Caenorhabditis elegans: one gene and its partner. The protein of the gene in region 2 purifies or fractionates together with the protein of the main gene of each other region. This does not show direct contact. Each region holds a gene or a part of one and is shown on either strand. Other genes may lie near its edges.

What was found.
Region 1: the proteins of aos-1 (region 2) and snx-3 fractionate together in Caenorhabditis elegans (co-fractionation; one large-scale study listed by BioGRID). This does not show direct contact.

Annotation. Positions count from the first base shown.
Region 1 is NC_003279.8:9,062,608-9,066,305, reverse strand, and holds snx-3 (Sorting nexin-3), read left to right. Parts: upstream 1-1,902; 5' UTR 1,903-1,907; coding exon 1,908-2,003; intron 2,004-2,045; coding exon 2,046-2,111; intron 2,112-2,157; coding exon 2,158-2,378; intron 2,379-2,466; coding exon 2,467-2,572; 3' UTR 2,573-3,028; downstream 3,029-3,698. Other genes in the region: rad-54.L (DNA repair and recombination protein RAD54-like), read right to left, coding at 1-23, 123-262, 306-549, 623-701, 1,116-1,219; prmt-7 (Protein arginine N-methyltransferase 7), read left to right, coding at 3,159-3,247, 3,339-3,463, 3,516-3,698.
Region 2 is NC_003283.11:10,128,418-10,132,345, reverse strand, and holds the start of aos-1 (SUMO-activating enzyme subunit aos-1), read left to right. Parts: upstream 1-2,050; 5' UTR 2,051-2,051; coding exon 2,052-2,146; intron 2,147-2,192; coding exon 2,193-2,370; intron 2,371-2,418; coding exon 2,419-2,687; intron 2,688-2,734; coding exon 2,735-3,082; intron 3,083-3,928. Other genes in the region: wdr-20 (WD repeat-containing protein 20 homolog), read left to right, coding at 1-37, 85-850, 896-1,002, 1,134-1,415, 1,469-1,578. UniProt on the Caenorhabditis elegans protein: The dimeric enzyme acts as an E1 ligase for smo-1. It mediates ATP-dependent activation of smo-1 and formation of a thioester with a conserved cysteine residue on uba-2.

The DNA of each region.
Region 1 (3,698 bases), on a different chromosome or scaffold from region 2:
ACCGGATCGGCTACCACGTGCACCTGAAAAATTTGATAAAATGGACATTCATATTTTTGCAATATTTGAGTCGTTTTTTTTATTCATGTTTTTTTTTCGATTCTCGCAGCTAAAATTCTCACCTTTCGATCCTTATCTTCCTTGAGTTGTGCGTGTTCACTAAGATGTTCAGGAGCATAAAGAATCAATGCACCTTCATGATATGGATCAAATAGAGCACATTTTCGACGGTTTCCACCAAGACCTAGGCTTCGACCAGATACTGAAAACTCGTTTAAAATAAACATTTTTACATGTTTTCTTACACATATATCCCTCCATCGGAATTGAAAACTTTCTCGACAACAACTTCGCAATCATAGCATCGTGATCTGATGATTCGGAAGCCATACGTCTAGAGAATACATCGATATTCACAAAACGTAATGGACTTGCTTCTTCTACAGATACAGGTGGTTCTATGGCAGGCAGTGCCTTCTTTCGTCGTCGAAGACCTTGTTTTGAAGGAGAAACTGACGTAGAAAAAGGGGAAATGAAGGTTTTGTGTATCTGAAAAACATTAAAAATTACAATTACAATTAAGTTCCGAATTGTATTTCATTGCAACTAAAAATATTAATACATTTTTCGGTTCCTCCGTTCGTCCTGAATATCCTAGACTTTTCCGTTTTTGTGTTGGAGCAGTAGAGCTTGTGGAAGGTCTGAAAATAATATACCGCATTTCCTCTATTAGTCTTGCATGCAAGACTAATTTTCAATAGACCCGTAGGGGTGCAAGACTAATAGGGACTGCAAGACTATTAGAGGCTACAAGACTAATTTTCGAAGATCCAATAGCTTTGTTAAATTGGCCATTTATCGTCAAAATTTTGACTTGAAACAGTCTAAATCATGCAAAATACATGCTTTTCTATTGTTTTATCAATTACTTGAACAGTTTAAAATTTAATTTAGCTAAAAAATGGCGAAAATTTTGAAGTTTTGACAAAATACTGCTGGCCTGGCAAGAATAGGGGTGCATGACTATTACCGTATTTCCTCTATTAGTCTTGCATGCAAGACTAATAGAGGGAATACGGTATGTGTTAAAATTTGAATTTTTTATAAAAGCTCACAAATTTTCCGGTGTAACTTCTCGTTTCCTTTTTGGCAGTTCAACTGGGATATTAACATCTTTTCCATGACTATCTTCTAAATTTTCGAACGTTTTTTTTGGCATTCCTGAAAACTAAGAAAATCTTTAATTTCGCAGAACAACTGAATAAACAAGTAGAATTTACAGAAATTCAACAAAATTTTTAAAATGCTCTTTTTATTCAAAAAGAACGGCGCCGCGCCATCTTGAACGAAAACAAAGTTTCGAAGAAGACGAAACACGGACACAGGGCGGTGTCAGCTATTAATTTTCAATTTAACAATTATTTTACAACATAGATTTGTTGTGAAACATTTTTTTGCTTTTGAATCAATTATAATCTTTTTAAAATTTTGAGTCATAGCGAGTCACTGCTTTTTCATTCCATGAATCTGCGGTGTCTGCTTTTGAAATTTCAGTTTGAGGTACGGTTGAATTTTTTGTGTGCATTAACACAAAAGTGTTTGCGTACTTTTGCCACTTTTTTCATTTCTTGATTCGTTTTGTTTATCGGCGCGCGATGAGTCATTTTTGCCGTAATTTCCTTGAAATTCCAGTTTTATTTATTGATTTTTCACAGCTTCATATTATTTTTTCCATTTTAGTTTGCCGAACAGCGAAACAAAAAGCAAACGATGTTCTCGCATGTTGTCGATTAAAGCTTTGGATTCCAACATAAATTTCACTTTTATTTTGTTTATATTGTGAAAATCGATACTTAAATAAACAATTCAAAGCAACTTTGATATAATTTAGAATATTTGCAGTGCAAATGGCATCCGGCGCGTCGGCAACTCAGCGGATCCCTTCAAAACGGCAAACGCTGGACGAGGCATATGCCCCGCCGGCCAACTTCCTTGAAATTGAGGTTTGAATAAAAATCAATGAATTAGATCAAGATAACTTGCAGGTTATCAATCCTATCACTCATGGTGTTGGAAAAATGCGCTACACGGATTACGAAATCAGAATGAGAGTAAGTATAGATTAACACTGACCGCATAATAAAATCGTTGTTTCAGTCGAATCTCCCCGTTTTCAAGCAGAAAGAATCAAGCGTGCGTCGCCGATACAGTGATTTCGAATGGGTTCGTGCTGAACTAGAGCGAGATAGCAAGATTGTGGTTCCAACGTTGCCAGGAAAATCATTCAAACGGCAACTGCCATTCCGATCCGATGATGGAATTTTTGAAGAGGAATTCATTGAAAATAGGCGCAAAGCTCTCGAGTTATTCATCAATAAGTACGTAAAACTGTTCAACTATACGGACATCAAAATGAACTCAGAAAATTTTCACATTTCTAAAAGTTTTAATAATATGTTCTTGCAGGGTTGCTGGACATCCACTTGCTCAAAACGAACGCTCTCTCCATATTTTCCTCCAGGAGCCAACTATTGACAAAAACTACGTGCCTGGCAAAATTCGTACCGCTTAAATTTTAAAATGTTTCTAAATTCTCCGCTCACGAGAAAAATCTCAAAATACCCAGAGTTATAGTTTTAACGCTGTCTGTTTCAATAAACAGAAGGAAACTTTTAAAAAATGATAATGTTTTCTTATCATATTTTTACATAACAAAAAATGAGTAACGCTTTCTGATCTTTTGAGATATTTAGTTTTCAAAAAGTGAGTTTTTAGAAGCTTTTTTCCAATTTAATCTCGGCCCATCAAAATATTGTTTCCATCCCTCCACCAAAATGCGGTATTTTTCGAAATTGTGTACTTTGTCCCCATCACCACTTCTTTCCCATTGATTTCCATTTTCTGGCTCCTGTTTATTTCATATTTATTTTTACATTTTTGTGTATAGTTTCCCAATTTCCCAATTGATTGCACTATTTTTATTGCATGAACCCCTTTTATTTGAACAAATATGAAAAATAAGTCTTCCGTTCCTTGATTTCGTTTCTTTGGATTTTAAAGTGGTAAATTGGCAGTTGTGTGCATATCGCAAATATCTTGAGTGTATCATTAAAACGAGCATATCTTTAAGATAGACAATTTGCAGGGTTTTCTGAAAAATGTTCCTTGAGAAGATAAATCAAAAAACCGGCGAACGAGAATGGGTTGTGGCTGAAGAGGATTATGATATGGCTCAGGAACTTGCCAGGTTTTCAACTTTAAAAAAATATTCCGCATAGAAATAAAATTTAATAAACAATACTTCTCGCATTTTCTTGCTTTAAAACGTTAATTTTCAGAAGTCGATTTGGAGATATGATTCTGGATTTTGATAGAAATGACAAGTTCCTCGCAGGATTAAAAACTACGATTGCTGAGAAAAAACATGAAAATACAGATGGGAAAGTTCATGTTTTAGATATTGGTTAGCTGTTAAGTTTTCAACTTATTCGGTTTTTAAAGTTTACTATTTACAGGTACTGGAACTGGACTTCTTTCACTAATGGCTGCTCGAGAAGGAGCTGATAAAGTGACTGCATTGGAAGTTTTCAAACCAATGGGAGATTGTGCAAGACATATAACAAGCAATAGTCCATGGTCAGATAAGATTACTGTAATTTCTGAGAGATCTACTGATGTTTCACAAATTGGTGGTTCAC
Region 2 (3,928 bases):
GCACAAGAATTGCTGGCAGTTATGAAATCATATTTCGGTTGGTTCATTATCTTCGAAAAAAATCAAATATTCATGAAATTTAAGGTGGATTGCTTACGCTCTCATGGAGCCCTGATGCAAAATTGATTGCCACTGGCGGCGAAGATGATCTTCTAACAGTTTATAGTGTAGCTGAGAAACGAGTAGTTTGCAGAGGACAAGCTCACAAAAGTTGGGTTAGTCAGGTCAAGTTTGATCCTTATTTATGCACAACCGAAGAAGATCTGGAAAATAATGGTATTGCGATGACATCTACGTTTGACGACGTTGCAAAGGATTTCTCAATACGTTCGGGACCAGTACCATCTACTAGTGCAGATTTGAATTCTGGAGTGATGAATGCAACTTCAACATTCTCTCGTTGTTCACTTGCTTCGTTTAACACTATCAACGGAGCTCCAGCTGGAAACAGTGTCCGTTATCGAATAGGAAGTGTTGGACACGACACATTTCTATGCCTGTGGGATATAACAGAAGATATGTTGAACCAAGGAAACATTCGACGTCATCGAAATTCAACAATAATTGCCCCAATGACTACCCTCGAAGTACAGACGAATTCTCTAGTTGGAAGACTTGAAGATCTTCAGGAAGTCTCTCCTGGTGGTGCTGGTGTTAATGCATCTTCTGATTCACAGTCTATAACTAATAATCACACAACTCCTCGCCCAGAAAAACAAAAAAAGAAGAAATTTACAAAACGTCTAGGATTTTCGAAGTTTACTTCTGGAAGCTCCAGTGCTACATCAAATCCGGTTGGTGGCCACAAAATTGGCACATTGATGAATGGTGCATCAGTAAATTCTGAAAGGTATGTCGATTTATTCAGAATTTATAATAATATGTTAATTTTCAGTTCCAAGAAACAAAACCCCGGGCTAATTTCTCAAATAAGCTGCTGTAACGAAACGCGGATGTTGGGTTCTAAATTTTGTCCAGGGATTCGAGATGTTCCTATGATCGGTAAGCTTATACTTAAAATTAAAATACGATTCACTAGTCAGATCCGGAAAATCGCGAAATTTTTGAATCATTTTTCTATCACGAAAAAAAAGACAAAATGAACGAGAAAGCACTTGTGAAATATTTTTCAGAACCGTTAATGTGCAAAAAAGTATCGCATGATCGTCTGACAGTTCTTGAATTCCGAGAAGATTGTGTTGTGACTGCTTGTCAAGAGGGATATATCTGCACATGGGGCCGCCCCGGCAGATATCAACCAAAACGAGATTGCATCAATTCACCAGGAACAGCAAGTCCGGAATCAGGTCAAAAACCATCTGGATCTACGTCCGCTATGACTTCTTCATATGGATACGGCTCAGATGCTTTGAATGGAGTTCCACCTTCACGATCATCAAGTACCTACAGTAATAGTGAGTTTATTTAATCTAAGAAAATGTCTCTAAAAGTTTTCCAAGTTACTTAGGCGAACAACAACTTCGTTCACCGAATATCACATCCCCGTCATACCGGGTTTCAGCTGCCAGTACTTCTGTTTATCATCGCCCAACATATGCCTGGCAGAATGCAAATTAACCACTCCACTTCGGGTATCTTAAATTTTCTTTACTAGGTTCTTATTCTTTTTTATTGTTCACTTAATCTTATTTATTGTCGTCAAGCGTAATGCTCTGATCTTTAGGATGTATACTGTAACATGATTTTTCTGGATTATTTCTAATTGTAAAGCCCGGCAAAGTTGTTTGCCATTGTTTGCAAACTATGATCACCTGCTCACATTTTTCTTTTATTAATGACTTAACGTTCCAACTTCGCAGATTTAATTTTCTATATTACTGTGCCAGTAGGATCCATGTGCCTAGTTTTTCTTCACCCTAAAACTCACCCCGTTTCATTCTCGTTGTTTAATTTCTGGTCTAATGAATTGTGTATTTATTTAAATATCGTTATTTTACTTCTTCTCGATTTTATTCGGTTCACCTTGCCGTTCATATTAACCATTTTTGCTAAATGTTTTCATATTTTTTGTGATTGCCATAATTTGCAGAATGTCCGAAGCAAAAGAAAATATGGAGGTCAGCAAAGCTGAACAGGCGATTTACGATCGACAAATTCGTTTATGGGGAATGGAAGCTCAAAATAAGTAAGTTTAAATTTTTTCGAATAAAATACTATTGTTTCGTTTTCAGAATCCGAAACTCTAAAGTTTTGATTATTGGTGGAAAACAGCTTGGTGCGGAAGTGGCAAAAACTCTGTCACTCGCTGGTGTTGACGAGATGCATTTAGTTGATCATCGGCTTGTTGATACAGAAGAAATTGGTATGAATTTTCTCTACGACGCTTCGGTTGATAATTCAAAGATGACGGTTTGTAATTAATTCGAATTATACATATCTTATGAACGTTGTTTTCAGAAATGGGCGGCATCATACAATTTTCTTTATAATTTGAACCGCAATGTGAAACTTTTCATCGTCGAGGAAGATGTTCTATCGAAAAATGATTCGGAAATCGAAGAGTATTTGACTAAATTCACGTTGGTTGTTGTTCTCGACGAGAGTTACGAACGTACTGCAAAAGTGAACAATATCTGCCGTAAACACCACATCAGATTTATTTCTGGAGCAATCTACGGATGGATTGGCTACGCATTTTTCGATTTCGATGGCCATGCTTATTTAGTGTAAGTTAAATCGTTTTAAAAGTCTCATCCCAATATTTCTTTTAAAGAAAAGCTAAAAGCCCGGATTGCTTGAATGAAGAAGAATCGGAAACCGGAAAGACGAGCACAGTGGTTACGGTAGATGAAGAATTCGTGCTTGAAACGTTTTCATATCCATCATTTGTCGAAACGCTCAACTCTGATTTCACGGCGAAGAAAATTGTGAGAAAGTGCAAACGGATCGTTCCAACATCATATTTCCTCGTGAAAAGTATGCTCCGCGCTTCCAGCGAAAATAAACTTACCGGAGTCACTGAAAACGATATTGAGAAATTAATTCCAATCTGGAACGAGGAGGTGGCCGCTGGAAATCATACCATCGATATGCAACCAGTTCAACCCGATCGATTTGATCAGTGAGTATTATTCGCACGAAAATTATAAAATGAATCAATAAAAAACATAGAATGTATTATCTTTTTAATTATTTAAAAAAACAAGTTAAAAATGTATCGTAATTTCAAAAAACGGTAGCATTCCGTCTTAAAGACGCACGGACTTATTCATGTGTCTCGATCAGGGCTCTGATCAAAAAACAAAAAATATGCAAAAAAGGTTTATGGTAGTTTTTTTTTTCAAATTTTCGCGTCTGCTTCCAATTTTTTTCTCGCACTTTTCAATGAAACTACTTCATTTTTAACGAATTTTGTCATTTTGTTTTTAACGCACAAATCAACTGTTTTTCATGAAATTTAAAGCAAAAAAAAATTTACTAAATATTAGGTCTCCAAATAAGTTCCGGGTCAAAAATCATAACTTTGTTCGCTGCGAATCGATTTTTATGAAACTGTGGGAATTTATGTTATCAACCATGATCTTTCATTTGCAAATAGTCACAAATTTTTTTTGGCCGTCCGAAGTGCCCTAACTCGGAGCCAATTTTTTCAGGCATTTTTCAGATCTCGCTTCTTTTCAGGTTTCAATTGAGGTTTGTGTGCGGATTTTGCTTAGTTTAATACACAATGTAAGAAAACAAGAAAAGTTTGGAAAAAAATCCCTCCAAAAAAAAAATTTTTGTCGAAAATTTTTGCTTTTTTATACAAAAATGATGTAACCATGTGTAAACTATTTTTACACATACAAAACATTTGAGTATGATATTTGGATCTCGAGAAATAATCCAAAAATTCGAAAAAGCTGTGTTTTCTGTTATTATTTCAGTGTGACGCACTAAATTGAAATGTTTTGTATGTGTAAAAATA